Pelodiscus sinensis: one gene and its partners. The protein of the gene in region 3 purifies or fractionates together with the protein of the main gene of each other region. This does not show direct contact. Links are inferred from orthologs where the notes say so. Each region holds a gene or a part of one and is shown on either strand. Other genes may lie near its edges.

Region 1 (6,168 bases), on a different chromosome or scaffold from region 3:
TACTGTATCTTAAGTAAATTCCTGCATCTTTGAGAAACATGCTTTTTTGAAGAAAAACCAAACAGTTTGACCAAATATTACAGATTCTGATACTTATGCAATTCCTCAAGAAAACCATCTCTCTCACATAACATAGTGACCAAAATGGAAAAAACGGTGTACTGACAATTGTCATGGCAAGTGGGCAAAAATGTGGGATAGCTGCCATATATTCAAGCCAACTATTTACATCATCTCCACAATTCGAGCGAATATAAAAACACAACTTTTAATCATGTGCTGTTCATGGGAGCTATCAGTCTACATAAAGTGCAAAAAAGGAAAGCAACACCTTACATGAGGCCACTATTTTCCTAGTACTCCCATTCATCTGTTTTCATGTCTAGATAGTAAAGAATATTCTGTGCAAGCTTTACTGCCTGCTTTCTGGCAACTTTAGACCGTTCATCTCCTTGTGGATCAACAGCATCAAGTGTCAGAAGTTGCTTAGTGAGGAGCTCTTCTAGTCTCATATAGTTCTTATCAGTTCGGTTTCCATCAAAAGACAGCACTTCCCTCTGAATCTGAGACAAATGTTCAAGAACACTCCAGACTGCCTTATGGGAGTGGTGTTCTACAACAGTTTGTTCACCATACAATTTCCTTTTTTCAAGTGCTTCTTTTAAATCAATGTATGTTATAAGAGTTTGCACTTCTATCACTGCTCTTCTCCTGGCTTCTCTGATGCATGGGTTCTTTCCTGGACTCACTTCATCCAAGTGGGCAATTAAACCTTGAAGTTCTGCCTTGGATCCCAAGAACAGATCAGAAGCATTTTCTGCTCTGAAAATTAAAGAATGAACTTCTTTCATTTTTTTGCGGATCTCTTCTATTTTTAGAATGGATTGATTTTGTGCCAAGTCATAAGCATGAGCAGAGTCTGCTTCCTCTTCCAAATCCAGGTATTTCTGTAATTTATTAATCTCTTCCACCACTTCCTTTCTGTAATTTCTTATTTCTGTGTGGCCACAAACATCCAACGCATCCAAATCAGCAACCAGACCAGTAAGCACACAGGATAAATGCCTGCAAGTCTCATTATTATTTACTCCCATTAAGACTGCAATAAGAGTACCCCTCGCTTTGTTTACATCACACATAATAGAGTTAATTTTTGAGACTGAAGGATGTGCATCACTGGAGAGTGGCAAGGAAGGTTGCTGTTTTATACAGTTTTCTATAATCTCTTGAATTGCACACACTTTTGTCAGAGTGCGGTATCTTGCTTTCCGTAGCGAGATTTTTCCTCCAGTTTTCACTTGAGTAAGTCTCAATACAATATCCTGAATACCCTCTTCAAATTCATCAGTTATACAGTTGCCACCTTTATAAAAAGGTGTGATTTCACGTTCCACCAATGACTGAGCTTCCTTATATATGGCCTCTATTTCCAGTCTGTGTGGATGGTTTGCATTCTGCTCCAATTCTTTGAGTAGTCTTTCTGTTTCCTGGGCTGCTCGTTTTCTGGCTTGCTGAATATCCCCTTTTCCTTCAGTATCTACAGAATCTATTTCAAAAAGTTGTTTAGTCAGAGTCCTCTCCAGTTTCTTGTAATCCCTGTCAGAAGACAGGCCACTGAAAATCACCACCTGCTGTTCAATATCTCTGACTTCTTTCTGTATTTCTTGAAGCCTTTTGATGGAAGGGTGTTGGTTACCCATATCCATTATCTTATTTCCTCCAGTTTCAAATGAGCTGTAAAGGAGGCAAGAATGACTGATAAATTTTTAAACAAATATTTCATAATTCCAACAACTTTTATAAAGCCTCATGACACTAAAATATTTAATAAATTAACTTGACTTAAAGGTACAGAGAATGTACGAGAAAGTTAAAAAGAGTGACGCACTTAACTTCAAACCATACAGTATGTCACTGTTCTTTTGTACATCTCTCTCTAATGATGTCTGCAAGCTCCTATTAAATGATATACACTTGAACTTACACAGCTAGAAGTTTTTATTCACTCTCAGAGCTATAATGTTTACAATCAATGCAGAAAAATGGGTTATTTCAATAATGAAGAAAATTAAGGAGGCAACCTCCAATTCTTAATTTAGTGCAAGATTCCCCCCCAACTGGTAAATACTCCCCTCTCAATCACTTGCATTACTCAAAATAGGGATTATAACACTGCTGAGGCAACTAATGTTGTCAACACTTTGTGCCCATATCTATGTACCCTCAGCAAATCTAACCAGCCTTCTCCCCCATCCAGCATCCTTTGTCTGTCTACACCACCTGGCACCCTTCTCCCACATTAAACTACCCCTAAACACTTCTGCACCTCATCCAGGGCCCTTCATCCACACCCCTCGGCCCTTCACTAATCTCTCTCACGTTCCCCTCTTCGCCTTTCATCGCTTTTTTCAGCCCATTTGAGGCCCCCTCTTCCTTCCACCACCACCTGCCTGTCCTCAAGCAGCGACCACAACCATCCCCAGTACCGCGGCCCCTGCATACGATAGAGATGCGGAGTTGGCCCTGAGGTCTCCAGCCCCCACCGCAGCATGAAGGACGGCGCCTACCCTAGCCAGCAGCCTTGGAGGAAGACAATCCCCTGGAGCAGGCCCCGATCCCCCCCGGAGCCCGGGCTCGCTACATCCCTGCAGGAGGAGCCTGGATCCGCCGGGCCGCGCCACCAGCAGGGGATGACTTCACAATGGGGGCGTCCCGGGGGAACGGAGAGCGCGTGCCGGAGCCCGGGGGCGGCACCGAGCGGGGGCCTCAGGCGGCTGAGAGCGTCTCCTTTATCGCAGAGCCCCGCCCCCCCGCGGAGACCCCCCCCGCCTCCCCTCCCCCGTCCTCCATATCCCCAGGGCCCCGGCACCCAGGCCCTCTTCCCCGCCAACTCCCCATCATCAGCTGCCCCCACTCTCCAGGCAGCCAACCCCCCCGCCCCCCAACCAGCTCAGCTTCCCTCCGAGCCCCCGCCCCTCACCTGGCCCGACAGGCGCTGTTCTCCCCCCGTCCCCGACAGAACTTGGGTCCCCCCGGCGGGCCCCTCCAACCGGCCTGTACCGCGGGCCAAACGGCGGCTATCCCGAGCCCGGGAACCCCAGCCCGCCCTCACCCGGCGGGGGCCGCAGAGGGAAGAGCGCGGCGGGTGACCGGAGCTGCGCAGCCAAGAGACTGAGCCGCTCTCCCGGGTTCCCGGAGGCCGCAGCTTGCGCCGCCTGCCGCACCTCAGGGAGAAGTTTCGGGCGGCCCTCCCTTTGCGACATGGCCGTAAAGCCGCCGCCAGCGGGGAGGCGGGTGAGGCGCGATGGCGGGCGCAGCGCCTCGAGTGGGGCGTTGGTGGCTCGGCTCGCGCCGCGGCTTCTCCCGAGCAGGGGGCGGCGCGGGGCGCCTGGCCGCTGAGGGGCCCGTGCGCGGCCACAAGCCGGAGAGCCCGGTAAACAGGCGGAGGGTGCGGGGCAGGCTTCCCTGAGGCCGGGGCTGCGGTGGTTAGCGCTGGGAACTCGAGGTCCTGCCCCGTGTTTTGGGGCAGGGAGAGCCCGCCCCGCCTGGGCTGCGTTGAGGTCCAGTGGGCGCCGAGTTGCGGGGATCCCAATGGGCAGAGCGGGCGGACAAACCTCTAGCTCTTTTTCAGGAGGGCGGCCTCCCCCTTTGCCTCTGGCGTCATGCAATTGGCCCTGGGGACCCGCGGGGAGCCCCATTGTCCATCATGTTGGGTACAGGTTTGGGGCTCTCCTGGGTGCAAGCTGGGGACTGGGCATTAGTACAACCCACATGCCTGCTGGGTGTGGTTCGCTGGTGTAGTGACACTTAGACTACTTACAGAGAGAATAATGAGTTTCCTCTATTAAGGATATGTGACTAGTTGTTTCTCTCCCCCTGCCCTCTATCAGAGAGAGGCAGAAAAGGGGGGGGGGAGCAGGAGCTGGTGCTGGGGAGAGCCATCTTAAAAGCTGATCTCCCCCCCCCCCCCCCAGCACCATCTGGAGAGGGGAGGAGGGGAGGCAAAGGTGCAGCAAGGAAACTCTGCAAGCAGGGACTGCTGCTGATGGTCCTGACTGCTCCATCTTTGAAATGTACAAGAGCCCTAGGCACTCTTGTACATTTCAAAGGCAGCTGTGTAGCAGGATAGGGAGTGCCTGACTAATGGAGCAGTGGATGGAAATTCTATCAACTGACTTTTCTGTGGGTCAGTGGCCCTCAACCCAAAAAAAGGTTCCCCTCCCCTTTTGAGATTCCTGTAGTAAGCTCCACAAGTCCCATGTTTGGTTCTGTCACTGTTACATTAGGACTCATATGCTTTGTTCCCTTTTCTGGTTGGCAGTGAATCTACCAGACACTTAGAGCCTGGACTCCTGGGCTGCATCTAGACTGACAAGTTTTTCTGCTTTTGCGGAAAAATTTGCCAGCTGTCTATACTGGCTGCTTGAATTTCCGCAAGAACACTGACGATCTCATGTAAGGTTCAGTGTTCTTGCGGAAATACAATGCTGCTCCCATTCAGGCAAAAGCCCTCTTGCGCAAATGCTTTTGCGCAAGAGGGCCCATGTAGACAACGCAGTATTGTTTAGCGCAAAAAAGCCCCAATGGCGAAAATAGCGATCGGGGCTTTCTTGCGCAAAACTGCGTCTAGATTGGCACAGACGCTTTTCCGCAAAAAGTGCTTTTGCGGAAAAGCGTCCGTGCCAATCTAGACACTCTTTTCTCCAAATGCTTTTAACAGAAAAACTTTTCCGTTAAAAGCATTTGCGGAAAATCATGCCAGTCTAGACATAGCCCTGGATTCTTTTCCTGGTTCTGAGGAGGAGATGTTGGGGGGACAGAGCTGGAGCCAGGAATCTAGGGCTATATTTTCCCTGGGTTATCATGTCTCCCTGTATTACCTGGGCTTCTCTCTGTCAGCATCTCATTAACTCATGATAGGATTTTACTTGAATTTCCTGTTAAATTGTTTGAATAGGTTTTGTTAGAAAAATGTTAATAGCCTGTAGTTGACCATTTTCCAAGGGTCACAAGGAAGTCTCATTAAATCTCATTTCCAGCTCTTTATTTCTATGTGGTTCTTTATTAGCAAATAAATTAATGCGTTGCTTGGGAAACATTAAGGTCTGGTGGAACCAGCAATCAATTTGGAATCAGACCTGGTAGACTCTTAATACATTTAAAAAGGAGAAGCACAGTGAGGGAAGGGGGGGGCAGTGTGAGCCAGGAATAAGCTTTGCCAGCTTGGGTGGAGGGGTCTACTGTTGTGCATCAGCCTTTTAAATGTATTAAGAACCTCCTGGCTCTTAATACATTTAAAAGGCTGTGTACAGCACTGGGGACTCAGGGCGAGTCAGGACAGCTGGGCTCATGCCAGTCCCCACAGTCCTTCTGCCCCCCATGGAGACCAAGTGCTGAGGGGAACCAGCTTTTAAGCCAGCTCCCCACAGCACTGGCTCTTGCTGCCTCTAATAGAGGAGGAGGGTCTAGTTGCTTATATCCCTAACAGGGGTGGCTTAGATAATGATTAGTCTTGCCTCATGTAAAGGATTGGATTAAATAACTTCTTTATTTCCCTTCCTGCCCTATGTTTCTATGATTCTGTTAAAATATACAAAGTAAATATCCTTAAATTGAGCTGTAGTAAGTTCTCAAGCAACATTTTTCTTCCTTTGGATATTTATAAAATTCATTATTGATGGAAATATTTTTTAATTGGTGTGTGTGTATATGTTGAAAGTGATGTTTACTGACATTACCACCAAAGATCCAGTCCTTCCAAGCCTATTTATATTGTAATCCAACTCTAGACAATTACTACATTATCACACAAATAGAGGCTAGAGTTTGAGAATCTTTATACAAGCTGAATTTCCTCAGAATATTAGAATTAGGAAAAAAAAAGTTCTAAATGTTGATTTGACAAGACCCTAGGTTTAGAATTTTTTTTCTAAACGCAGTCCAGGGATTACCTATTCATTCCTTTCTTTAAAGATAGAACATCAGATTAGGGACTCAGTCTAAGTATTTATACATCTACTTAACTTTATGCATTGTGTGTTGTCCCCATGTAGCAACCACATATGATTGCTAGTTCACCTGCCTATGAGCTATAGCTAAGATTTATAAATGCAGAAATAAAAATGTGGTGTTTAATAACTTTGTTCCTTTTAAAGTTTAAAAATGCTG
Region 2 (6,168 bases), on a different chromosome or scaffold from region 3:
CTCCAGCAGCCAGAGATACAATAACGTGGTCCCGGGTGATGGCAGGAGAAATCTCCCGCAGGACGTCAGGAAGCTGGTACGGCTTGGTGGCGAGGAAGACCACGGTACAGTGCTGCAGTACCTCACTGTTGCAGTGTGTCGTCTTGCAGCCCAGCTTCTGCCGCCCAAGGAGATGGGACACCGGTAAAGGCTTGGAGGGGACAGGCTGGAATCTACCCACATAACAGCAGCACTCAGCACCCACCTGCTTTTAACATGCATGGCGACATTAAAACGCAGCCCGGTGAGATGGGAAAGGCTATCTGAGGCCTCCGCCCAGTGATCAATCTTCTGGGGTTCAATTTAGTGGGTCTAGTTAAGACCCACTAAATCAAATGCTGAGGGCAACTCCGGTCAGCACTAGGGATGTTAAATTTAATCAGCTAATCGAATAGTCGATGCAAGTTGCATTGACTATTCGACTACTCCAGCGTTTCTCAAACTGTGGGTTTCTCAAACTGAGCAACTTAGAGGGGAGTCACAGGACAGTCTGTTTTTTTGGGTTTTCGGGACAGTCCGGTACATGTCTGGTATTTTCTAGTTTTCTGTCTGGGTGCCCGACGGAAGCCTGGCGGGGGCTGTGGGAGTGGCTGGGAGGTGGGGCACGATCAGCGCTGAGAACCTCTGGTTGCGTGTGATGCCTTGGGGAGGAAGGGAAGCCCTGTACGTGCTCCTGAGCGCTATTCTAGCGCGTGGTGGTGCCTCAGCCAAACTCACTCGTGCTTCGCTGGGACTGTGCGCGGGACGGGCAGCGCCCTGGTAGCGGCATGTGCCTGGGTCAGTCCCGCTCCCCACCAGCCAATTCATGCTCTCCCTGCCCCCTCCCAGCCGACTGGTTCTCCCCCACTTCTCCTCCTGATCTTCCCCGGCCAGCCCCAATGTACCCAACCTCTCCCTTCCTCCCCCCGCCACCCCTGCTTCCCGCTGGCCGGTTTCCCTGCCCGATCTCCCCCGGCCAGCCCCGCTGCCCCCAAATCCCCCTTTATTCATGGGGTGGGGGTCACACAAATTCATGTAGAATTTTAGGGGGTTGCAGTATTACAAAGTTTGAGAACCCCTGGACTACTCGATAAGGGCGCTTCCGCCTTTGAAGTGTAGCAACAACCCCAGGGCAGTTGCTACATTTCAAAGGCGAAAGCGCTACAGGGATCACGAGCCCAGTCAAGCAGTCCCCACTGGCCCCATGGCATTTCAAGTGGAGCCCCCCCCTCCCCTGCTGACTCTGCATGTGGCGTTTCAAAGCAGCAGCTCCAGGCTCCACGTGGCGCTGCCACTTTGAAGCACTTTTCTCTTCCCCCACCTTGCTGCCTCTTTCAGAAAGGGAGGGAGAAGTGACTAGTCAGCGAGCTGTTCACATCCCTAGTCAGCCCTGATACTCGCAGTCGCGAGGGAAGACGACGGGGACTGGCACTAAGCTCGGCTGAAGGTAAGCAGACTCCAGCTACATGTGTTACGCCAGTGTGGACCTGGACTGAGGATGAGCAGTGAGAGAAAGGGAAAAGCCACCATAGCTCACCAGCCCCATTTCCCAGGGCACCCAGGTGTTCCGGAGAGGAACTCAATAGCTTGCACATCTGCTGGGATCACAAGCAAGTGGACTCGAGCATCGTTATCGCCTTTGCCTCCCGTTTCTGGACACCAGGATGCTATTAGCTCTTCCAGTCCTCAGGAAGAGGCCTGACCTTTCCCGGGCAGCCTGCAATGCCCTGCCCTCGCTCACCTTGAAGGCCCCCAAGTTCCTGTCGGACGGCGCGCTGGCCAGGACGTTGGCAGCTTTGACTTTTCCTGAAAACACAGAGCAGAGGTAAGCCGCTGCTTAAGGGGCATGGAGAGAATCCTGCGATGCCTCAAACATGCTCAGACTAGAGACTCGTACCAAGGCCCAATTCCAAGCCTGTTCGTGCCCAGCGTTAGCTGCCCACCAGCCAGCGTGAGATTCCTAACGGCCGCGGAAGGGCGGAGAGGCAGGCAGCTAACCAGGGCACACGGGCTATGCGCGCTGCGGGCAGCGATGCCAGGCGATTGCAGGGAACTTCCTTTTGCCACAGGAGGGCAGTGGTGGCAGCAGGCCTGGAATGGCCTTGGTAAAACGCACACCTGTGCGGCAGGTATCGTGGGAACAGCCAGACAGCTCTCTGTGGCCTCCCCGCCCTAGGATCCCAGAGTCATTGATTAACTGGGCCTGAGCAGAGAGCCAACGACTTATCGCACAGCAAGGACCCGCAGCCGCTTCTGGGATGGGAGCATGGCAAGGGCCTTACAGAGATCCCTCAGCCCCTAGGAGCCATAACTGGGACAGGGCTCGGGACCGCAGGCGCCTCCACTGCTGGGCACAGCAGCTATTTCTAGGGGCTCGTTCACCAAGCACCCAGCTGCAGCTGTCCCGTGGGGTGGGATGCAGGGGGCTGGTTCTACAGGGATCCATTGCCCAGAACTGGGATGTCTTCTGCGGGGTGAGACACAGGGTTACACAGCAGCACGGCACGAGTTGGGGGGGGGGCCCTTGTGTTGGGGCAGGTGCTGCTTGCAGAGGGACCCCCATGGAGGGGAAGGGGGGGCCTGTAGCATGGGAACTCGCTTATCCAGCAGGGTGGGGGGTGGTTCTGGTGTGAGGGCCCCCGGCGAGGGCTCCCAGCTGGGATGGGGGGAGGGGGTCTAGTTACCCAGGGCCCCCGGCGAGGGCTCCCAGCTGGGATGGGGGGGTCTAGTTACCCAGGGCCCCCGGCGAGGGCTCCCAGCTGGGATGGGGGGGGGGGGGTCTAGTTACCCAGGGCCCCCGGCGAGGGCTCCCAGCTGGGATGGGGGGGGGTCTAGTTACCCAGGGCCCCCGGCGAGGGCTCCCAGCTGGGATGGGGGGGGTCTAGTTACCCAGGGCCCCCGGCGAGGGCTCCCAGCTGGGATGGGGGGGGGGGTCTAGTTACCCAGGGCCCCCGGCGAGGGCTCCCAGCTGGGATGGGGGGGGGGGGTCTAGTTACCCAGGGCCCCCGGGCGAGGGCTCCCAGCTGGGATGGGGGGGGGGGTCTAGTTACCCAGGGCCCCGGCGAGGGCTCCCAGCTGGGATGGGGGGGGTCTAGTTACCCAGGGCCCCCGGCGAGGGCTCCCAGCTGGGATGGGGGGGGGGGGTCTAGTTACCCAGGGCCCCCGGCGAGGGCTCCCAGCTGGGATGGGGGGGGGGGGTCTAGTTACCCAGGGCCCCCGGCGAGGGCTCCCAGCTGGGACGGGGGGGTCTAGTTACCCAGGGCCCCCGGCGAGGGCTCCCAGCTGGGATGGGGGGGGGGTCTAGTTACCCAGGCCCCCGGCGAGGGCTCCCAGCTGGGATGGGGGGGGGGGGTCTAGTTACCCAGGGCCCCCGGCGAGGGCTCCCAGCTGGGATGGGGGGGGGGGGTCTAGTTACCCAGGGCCCCCGGCGAGGGCTCCCAGCTGGGATGGGGGGGGGGGGTCTAGTTACCCAGGGCCCCCGGCGAGGGCTCCCAGCTGGGATGGGGGGGGGTCTAGTTACCCAGGGCCCCCGGCGAGGGCTCCCAGCTGGGATGGGGGGGGTCTAGTTACCCAGGCACCCTCTGCTGGGGCTCCCCTCGGGAAGGGGGGGCTGGTTACCCAGGGACCCCCAGCAGGTGGGGTGGGGGGGGAGGGGAGAGGAGGGGGGCGGGGCTCTCCCAAACCCCGCGCCTACCTGCGCGCACCGCGCCCTGCGCCACCCCTTGGGCCATGTGCCCGGCGCCCACGAACCCGATCCGCAGCTCCCCGCGCGCCTCCATCCCAGCCGGCTCTCCCACGTGACCCGCCCACCACGTGGCTACCGCCGGACCCGCCCCCAGCGTCGCGGGCTCCGCTCGGCCTCACCCCGCCTTCACCTCCGGATTGGCTGCCGCCGCGTGCGACGTCATCGGGCGCCGGATTCATAAGCGCCCGGGGGAACGAGGCGCTTCTCCCCAGGGGCGGAGTCAGGTGAGTGACCGCCCCACGTGGGGTCCTGGTGGGGGCGTGGTCTCCGTTCTCCTCTTGCCTTCGCAGCGCAGGGATGCTCCAGGCTGGCAGCGCTGCATCTGGCTGCTCCCCCCCCCCCTAGTCATCTGGGATCAGCAGCGCCCACACACAGCTCCCCCCGCCCTGCTGCCAGCTGTGTCCGCAGCTGGGCTGTGTATGGGCCCCAGGCGAGCTGTCACTCAAGCTGCCCCCTCTATCCCCCCCCCATCTCCTGGGCCGGTTGCTGGGGGCGGAGCAGGGTCAGGGTCAGGGCTTGGGCCTTCTGCGGTGGGCATGTGAATTCAGGCCCCTAGGGCGCCCCCAGACCCTGCACCCCCCCAGGTAGGACCTGGTGTGTCTGCTTCTGCATCCAAAGATCAGCTCTGTTCCACAACCAGATTTGTTTTTCTTGTGAGGGGCCGTGGCACGGCTGTTCAAAGGCCCCAGAGACACCCCCACCCCCCAATATCTGGTGGCTCAAGCCAGGAACACCTGGGTTTTGTTCTGAGGTCCGTCACAGTCTGTGGCCTCAGTTTCCCTTTCTGGGAAACATGAATGGTCTTCCCCATGGTGCATGGGTTGTATGAACAAATCTGACCGCAAAGCGTCAGATGGAAGGGCCTTTGAGCTACAATGTACAACGTGCTGACGTGGCACCTTCTGGCCTGAAAGGCAGCAAAACCAACAGAGATTGGGGTTTGGAAAATGCTTTCCACAGACACATTCATTTCATGTGGTTGAACTTGCGTGTTGGCTGGTCTGATCCATTCCTCACATCCCTTTCTGTGGCTGTTCCCTACTCAGAGAGGGGAAAGGCTTCTCTGATAAGACTCTCTTGTCTGGCTTCATGATGGCCAAAGTCAGGAGCAACGTTTGAATGCATGGCGCTACCCCCGGAAGTGTGCTGCCCTCGGATAGAAAGGATCTGACAGTTTTTGCGGAAAAGTGTCCGTGCCAATCTAGACACGGTTTTGCGCAAGAAAGCCCCAATCGCCATTTTCGCCATCAGGGCTTTTTTGCGCAAAACAATACTGCGTTGTCTACACTGGTCCATTTGCGCAAGAGGGCTTTTTCCCGAACGGGAGCAGCATAGCATTTCCGCAAGAACACTGACAATCTTACATGAGATCGTCAGTGTTCTTGCGGAAATTCAAGTGGCCAGTGTAGACAGCTGGCAAGTTTTTCCGCAAAAGCAACTGCTTCTGCGGAAAAACTTGCCAGTCTAGATGCAGCCTAAGGGAATTAATTGAGCCCGACAGTGGATGAAGGAGGAGACCTTTTCTCCTGTCTTGGTTGGGGAACAGGACCTGACCCGGAAGCCTAACTCAATTGCTCCTGGGGGGCTTTTCCTCTTTAAGTGTTTTGTTACGGTCCAAGGGGTGAAATGCAAGCTGCAGTGACAGGTATGTATGCAACAGCACTGGCCCTAACCACTCCAGGCTCCTACCCTTGCAGCCTGGCTCCCTGCTTAAAACCAGCTGCAGAAAAATCTAGAGAATGTGCCTTAATGTTACCTTGTGGAGGGCCACAGCAGCTTCTGGTTCTGTACACCGGAGACACAAGGCAGCTGCATGCTCATGTGTGGCCCATGGAGACTGATCAGTCCAGCATGCATCCAAGTGGAACTTTGTAAGTTTCCATGAGGCCTGTGCCCTCTGGGTGTGTTCTAGCAATCGGATCATTCCTTCCTCTCAGAGATGCCGGAGGAAACCCAGGAGGACTCATGAGCCCTTCACACAAACATCAGCGGTGTTTGTATTATTGTAGCACCCGAGGGCTGTGTCTCCGCTTGTGGCTTCTTGCACAAGTACAGCCGTTCTTGCGCAAGAATCCGCAGAGCGTCCACACTGCCCGCCCGCTCTTGTGCAAGGACATTTACAGTACGGCGTGGTAAGAGAGGGCGTCTTGCACAAGAGCTACGCTCTTTTTTTAACAGGTGTAAGCCCTTGTGCAGGGGCTCTTGCACAAGAAGGCAGTGTGGATGCTGGGCAGGGATTTCTTGCGCAAGGAAGCCCTATGGCTAAAATGGCCATCAGAACTTTCTTGTGCAAGAGAGCGTCCGCACTGCCATGGGCGCTCTTGCACAAAAGCACAGCTCGTACATGGCAGTGTGGACGTGATCTTGCACGAGAAGCCGCCAGTGTAGACATAGCAGGTGTGGCG
Region 3 (6,168 bases):
GTGACAATTCACCTTCCCCGCTGTTAGGCAAATCATGTTCTACATCACAGGACCAATGATATGGTAGCCACTTAAATAGGAAAATAAGGGGCTCAAATGAATTGCTCTACACTTGGGGTGTTAAATTTTGATTAACTAATAGAATAGTCAATGGGATTTCCACCTTTGAAATGTACAAGAGTACCCAGTGGGGCTGATCCCAGGCTCCATGCAGCACTTTCCCTTTGAAATGCATAGGAGTCCCCACTGGGGACTCTTGTACATTTCAAAATAGGCAGCCCTGCTCCCTACCATGGATCTGGGAGGAAGCAGCTTTTAACCATGTGACCTTGGTTAGTTAAGTGTCTTGTGTGCCTGGATACCATGGAACAAACAGCAACCGGGAGGTGCTTTGCTCAGAAACACCCCCCCCCCATGTCTGCCCTTCCACCCAGCAAGATCTGTGTCCCTAGTTTGCACTGGTGTAACTCAGCTCAGATTCTTGGCCATGCTCTCTGATCCAAAGAGCTTGCATTCTCAAAAGCTTGTCAAAATCTGCCCGAACCAGAGGGGCAGCATCTTGCACTGCCCCTTTGTAATACTGACTTCCTTTGGCAAATGCTTTGATTTCTGCTGATGAGAAGCTCAGTAAGAGCAAAGAATTTCCAGTGTTACCATTAGTGAAGTGGGCTAACACCTATTTTACCCCACACGTCCAGCCAGTCAGACAGCATGCAACTAGGCAATGACAGATGGTCTGTATCAGAAGTTCACCGAGTGCTTGTCACACTACAGAAACCTCACCCTTACCACAATTGTACCCATTTTCCAGATATGCAAACTGAGGCAGAGATGGCGTGGTCTGCCCTAGGTCATACAATGAGTCATAGTCTTGGTTCCCAGTGCGCTGGTCTAATCACAAAGCATACTCCCCAAATCAGATAAAACCTATATGTCCTTGTTCCCACTCTTCTGTTCTAACCATTGGCCCATCATAATCCCACCCACTCAGCCTCATTTAGGAGAGATGCTTTGACTTTTTTTTTCCGTCTTTTTCTTTCTTTTTCTGCTTTTTACAGTGAAACCTTTGTTAACAGAGTGATGGATAACTAGAAAACTTTAACTGGCATTGCCCCCAGCCACAATACTGTCACACATTCAGGCACACAGGCCTGGTTTAGTTTACTGATTGCCTTAACAATTTTTTATTTAAGTACTAATCTTTAACTCAAAATAGAAATGTGAGACCAACTGCCTCACACTACAAAACTACCAATATTAAAAACTTGAGTTTTACTATTATTGTCCATTGGTTTTTCCTAGGTTGATGGGACCCTCAGACAACTGGAATTTTTAGATAACCGGAACGCGTTAATCCCCGAGCATGCTGGATAACACAGTTTTTACTGTATTTGAAGCTCTGTGCCTTTCTCCATTTTTTTGTCATCTGAAGAAGTGAGTTGTTTTGGTTAGTCTCTAAGGTGTTACAGGACCATTGTTGAGGTTTTTTAAGCTTTTATAGTGGAGAATGTTCCTTTTCTTTTCTAACAAGGGTGAAAAATGTCCTCTGATCCACTGTGACTCAAGAGCATCTCAGTGCTTTGTGCTTCTGGAGCATTGAGAACTATGATGACATAATTCAGATTTTTCCACAGCTAAAGTGGGAAGAAATGGTTTGAGTGTAGGGAGTAGAATAAATGTTTAGTTTTATGTAAATATGTATAAAGATAAATGTTTGATGACTTCATAATTTTTTTGCAATATATAATTCATACTTAGGCCCTTCCCTCCCACTAGCCTTAAGCCCCTCATTACCTTAATCCGGCCCTGCCTACATGCATTTCCCTGCCTCTCTTTCCTCATCGCTCTGCAGCACCCTTTGGGCTGGGTTCAGAGTCCTGTGTGCGGTACTCTATGGCCATTCTGACTTGCATAATATAAGCTCCAGCTTTCTGCAAGCTCGGGTACTCTGACCTTTGCCTTCCCCTTCCCAAACATCCTGTGCTATCTCCCCTCTGGGAGTCCTTTAATAAACTTGAACAAACAGAATCCAGGGCTGGATGTCCCTGGTGAGGAGGTGACAGGTTTGGAATCCGGATGAGTAGGGTTGCAAGCGTAAGCGTAAGTTATTGGTTACCCAAACAGTTACACACAGGTCTCAGGGACCCTCCTGCTGCCCTGCACTCTGGTGAAGGCAGCAGAGGGGGGCAACAGACAGGAGCCTGTACTCAGTTCCCAGCACACACCTGCACCTGGGAGCTGGCTGTGCCCGGCGTGTAACCGAACGTTTACCAAATGACACGTATTTTAACATCCCTAATGACCGGCGCCTTTGGAGGGGAAGGCGAGCCTGTGAGACCTGATGGGGTGGGTGCCACTAGCCGGGGGGGGGGGGGGGGGGGGGGTTGACCTTAGGTGAGGGATGCTGGTGGGGGCTGTGGGACATGGGATGAGGGATGCACTGGGCGGGGGCGTGGCTCCAGACTGCTCCTTTCCTTGCTAAAGGCCCACCCCGGGGCGTGGCTTTTGCCGGTGGGCGTGGTCAGTGCCTAGGATGCAAAAGAAAGCCGAGGCAGAATTGATGTTTAGGGTTTCAGCTCGGCCCCGCCCCCCCTGGGGGCGGGGCGAGAACGCTCGGAGAGTCGGCAACTGGTCCCACCAGGCTCGCGGCCTGAGAGAGTGGGGGGAGTCGGGACAGTGACCGGCAACGACCGTTGGTCTCACAGCGCGCGCTTCTGTCCCCTTCCCACCCCTCACTTGATGACGAGTGAGGGGCGTGGTCTCAGCGACGGTTAAGCTCTGGGGGGGGGGTAAGTGTGCGGTCACGTGACGCAGGCTCTGTCCCCACTGGCGGAGAGCGGCAGGCCCCGCGCTGTGATTGGGGGAGGCGGGCGGGAGGCGGGGTCCGGGCGGGGAAGGTTCTGGAGAGCTGTGGCGAGCTCTGGAAGGTTCCGCCACCCGTCATATAAATGGGGGGTGGCGGCGGGCGCCGCGCTGGAGTGACGGGAACCGCTGACGGGGTGTGAGACGCGCAGCTGGGAGCCATGGGCAAGGACTATTACCGGACGCTGGGCTTGTCCCGGGGCGCCTCGGACGACGACATTAAGCGGGCCTACCGCAAGCAGGCGCTGCGCTACCACCCCGACAAGAACAAGGACCCGAGCGCCGAGGAGCGCTTCAAGGAGATCGCCGAGGCCTACGACGTGCTCAGCGACCCCAAGAAGCGGGAGATCTTCGACAAGTTCGGCGAGGAAGGTGAGGGGCGGCGTGTGGGCGCGGGCCGCGGGGGGGTCCGGCAGAGCTTGGTGGGGGAGATGGGGCAGGGGGCGTGTGTCGCTCGCTGTGGATGGGGGGGCTGCGCAGCAGGAATTGGGGGGCTGCCCCCGTGGTGTGGCGAAGGGCGCTGACGTGATGGGGGGAGGGGGACGCCCTATACACTGGGGCTCTGGGGAAGAAGGCGGGGGGGGGGGCTGTCTTTCAGCGGTGCAGCGCTGGGGGGGGCTGGTAAGCAGGGGGATGGTGCGCTAAGGTTTGGGGTGCAGAGCCTCTGTGCGAGGAGGCCCTGTTCCGGGGAAGACCGCATACCCGTGGGAAGGACATTCTGATGCAGCTTAGTACCTGGTGATAGGTAGGAAGGAGGTGGTTAGAAATAGCTGAATGTCATGCTGCTGGGTATTCTGGAAGTACTTTCCATGAAGTGAGGGGTAGCACTAAGATTGGGGAAGAGGAACATATGTCCTAATGGGGCACTCCCAAACTTTGTGGAGAGGGAACTGTGTATCTCTTACACACAAGATGGAGTGGTTTTCTTTCTTGATGCAATCCAGGGAGTGACAGAGAAGCAAAGTATTTACTAGTGGCTAGTCTCTCTTTAATCCTTTGCTTCTGAAATTCATTCATTTTTGTCTGGAAAGGAGTGCATCTAGTTGGTTTTCAGGGAACAGTACTGAACCCTGAATGGGCATGTACAGTAAAGGGATTCAGCTTTCCCGTGTAGCCTGTAGATACTGTCAGTAGCATGGGATAGCGAAGTGGCTGTCAGAAAAATAAGACTCATAGTAACAGGGAGATGTGTACAGAGCTAATTGTGAAAGGAAGTAGAACTAGTCCTATTAGTGAATTTAGGAATTAGCCAGTTTCTTTTATCTCAGAGCGTCCTGTTGCATTAATAACATAGCCTGTTAAAACTATTAATAAAACACAAGTGTCAGACTCTTTTGAACAAAATACAGGACTATGTAGCACTTTAAAGACTAACAAGATGGTTTATTAGATAATGAGTTTTCGTGGCCCAGACCCACTTCCTCAGATCAAATAGTGGAAGGAAAATAGTCTCTTTGGGAGACTTATTGTGAAGTCCATGTGCAAAGCCTGCCTGACTTCCTCCAAATTAAGGCATTAAAAGTCTGCATCAAATCTCTAATTTAACATTAGTACAGATTTTTTTTTTTTTTAGGGTGTAGTCTCATCCATTTAGATTACTCAAACAAGGGAGCTAGATTTCTCTGTATTTAAACAGCTAGGTTGGCCAACTCAACTGTTAACATCTGATGCTGAAAGAGTATGATTTTTAATATTTTTTAAAAATAGTTGCTTTTTCCAGCTAATAGAATTGTAGATAATTTCCCTTAAATTATTTTCCAAAATTTGTGTTTTGAATTGCTTTTCAGTTGCTGACTTCCCATGTTTGTTTCTCTACATTGCCTTTCCTGTAAATACTTAATGATTTCCCCATATGAGCTGATAGGCCACTTTTCCAGAAGAGGCGGAGCTGACTACAGAATGGTTTTGCTTGTCACTAGAAGATTCTAATATACTGTATTTGTTTGCCTGTGTATGTTAAATTATGAAACTTGCTCCGTAACAGTGTTTTATTGAAGCAGGAAGAATATAGTTGTAGTCTCCAGGCACTCAGATTAAATTATTTTTGCTACAATGGCTCTATATAGATGAGCTAGGTTTAATGCCAATTAAAGGAATACAGTTGATTATAAATTATTATGTTAGGAAACTCAGTAATTGAGAGAGAAGAGCTCTTCAACTTGGCTCTAATTTCTTTTTTGACTAGGGAGGTCTGAATCTTGACACCATTTTAAGATGACAGCAGGCCTCTTTGGTGATGCACATCAAACCTAAAGTTCTAAATAATGACATTCCCAGGATCTAAGAATGAGGAGAGTCTTGAAATTAAGAAAGATATAGGAGACATTTGGTAAATCTTGAGTTTAATAAATTCTTATGAGTAATCACTGGATTATATTCATTCTGTTTTTTCAGGACTAAAGGGAGGTGGTCCCAGCAGTGGCGGAAGTTCCAATGGTACCTCATTCAGCTACACGTTTCATGGAGATCCTCATGCTATGTTTGCAGAGTTCTTTGGTGGCAGGAACCCATTTGATACCTTTTTTGTACAAAGGAATGGAGATGAAGACATGGATGTTGATGACCCTTTCTCCACATTTCAAATGGGGGGCTTTAGTAATATGGGTTTCCCTCGTTCCCGCTCGGGCCATGAAAGTATGCGCAAAAAACAAGACCCTCCTGTCATTCATGAACTGAGGGTTTCCTTGGAGGAAATATATACTGGTTGCACCAAGAAAATGAAAATATCTCACAAACGACTTAATACAGATGGGAAGACCACACGGAATGAGGACAAGATTCTGACCATTGAAGTCAAACGAGGGTGGAAAGAAGGAACAAAGATTACTTTTCCAAAAGAGGGGGACCAAACAGCAAACAACATTCCAGCTGACATTGTCTTTGTTTTAAAAGACAAGCCACACAATGTCTTTAAGAGAGATGGATCTGACATTATTTTCCCAGCTAAGATCAGCCTCCGTGAGGTAAGCAAAGGTTCCAGATTCAGTATGGGATTAGTGGGTGGATTGGGTTGGGTTTTGGCTAGTGGAAGTGACAAGTGTTGAGATCTATCTGCACCCTGTTTCGTATCTGGCTTTAATCCATAATAGGATACCTGCCTAACTCTTCTGTGGTCTGCCTAAAATAAGATGGTAGCTTCAGGATACTTCCTTGTGGAACAATCAAAGGGTATAAACCACCATTAGAGATGGCAGATCACTGGCAACTACTTTGAAAATGATGTGGGTCAGTTTGGATACTGAAAGTTCAATGTGGGTCAAGCAGTTGTACAAATATATAACATAGTTGTACAATTTCTGGTACTGT

The links.
Region 1: the proteins of DNAJB1 (region 3) and BAG5 purify together in Homo sapiens (affinity purification with mass spectrometry; 3 studies listed by BioGRID and IntAct, with this or other methods). This does not show direct contact. The link is inferred for Pelodiscus sinensis from reciprocal best matches to the Homo sapiens genes DNAJB1 and BAG5.
Region 2: the proteins of DNAJB1 (region 3) and PYCR3 purify together in Homo sapiens (affinity purification with mass spectrometry; 3 studies listed by BioGRID and IntAct, with this or other methods). This does not show direct contact. The link is inferred for Pelodiscus sinensis from reciprocal best matches to the Homo sapiens genes DNAJB1 and PYCR3.

What each region holds. Positions count from the first base shown.
Region 1 is NC_134714.1:20,289,358-20,295,525, reverse strand, and holds the start of BAG5 (BAG family molecular chaperone regulator 5), read right to left. Parts: upstream 3,639-6,168; 5' UTR 3,615-3,638; intron 3,434-3,614; coding exon of another isoform or gene 3,305-3,433; exon of another isoform or gene 3,295-3,304; coding exon of another isoform or gene 3,262-3,294; exon of another isoform or gene 2,981-3,261; intron 2,803-2,980; exon of another isoform or gene 2,568-2,802; intron 1,735-2,567; 5' UTR 1,707-1,734; coding exon 354-1,706; 3' UTR 1-353. Other genes in the region: COA8 (cytochrome c oxidase assembly factor 8), read left to right, coding at 3,305-3,433. UniProt on the Homo sapiens protein: Co-chaperone for HSP/HSP70 proteins. It functions as a nucleotide-exchange factor promoting the release of ADP from HSP70, thereby activating HSP70-mediated protein refolding.
Region 2 is NC_134712.1:2,163,369-2,169,536, reverse strand, and holds the start of PYCR3 (pyrroline-5-carboxylate reductase 3), read right to left. Parts: upstream 3,850-6,168; 5' UTR 3,798-3,849; coding exon 3,713-3,797; intron 1,825-3,712; coding exon 1,760-1,824; intron 158-1,759; coding exon 1-157.
Region 3 is NC_134729.1:10,612,069-10,618,236, reverse strand, and holds the start of DNAJB1 (dnaJ homolog subfamily B member 1), read left to right. Parts: upstream 1-2,866; 5' UTR 2,867-3,023; coding exon 3,024-3,234; intron 3,235-5,256; coding exon 5,257-5,825; intron 5,826-6,168. UniProt on the Homo sapiens protein: Interacts with HSP70 and can stimulate its ATPase activity. Stimulates the association between HSC70 and HIP. Negatively regulates heat shock-induced HSF1 transcriptional activity during the attenuation and recovery phase period of the heat shock response.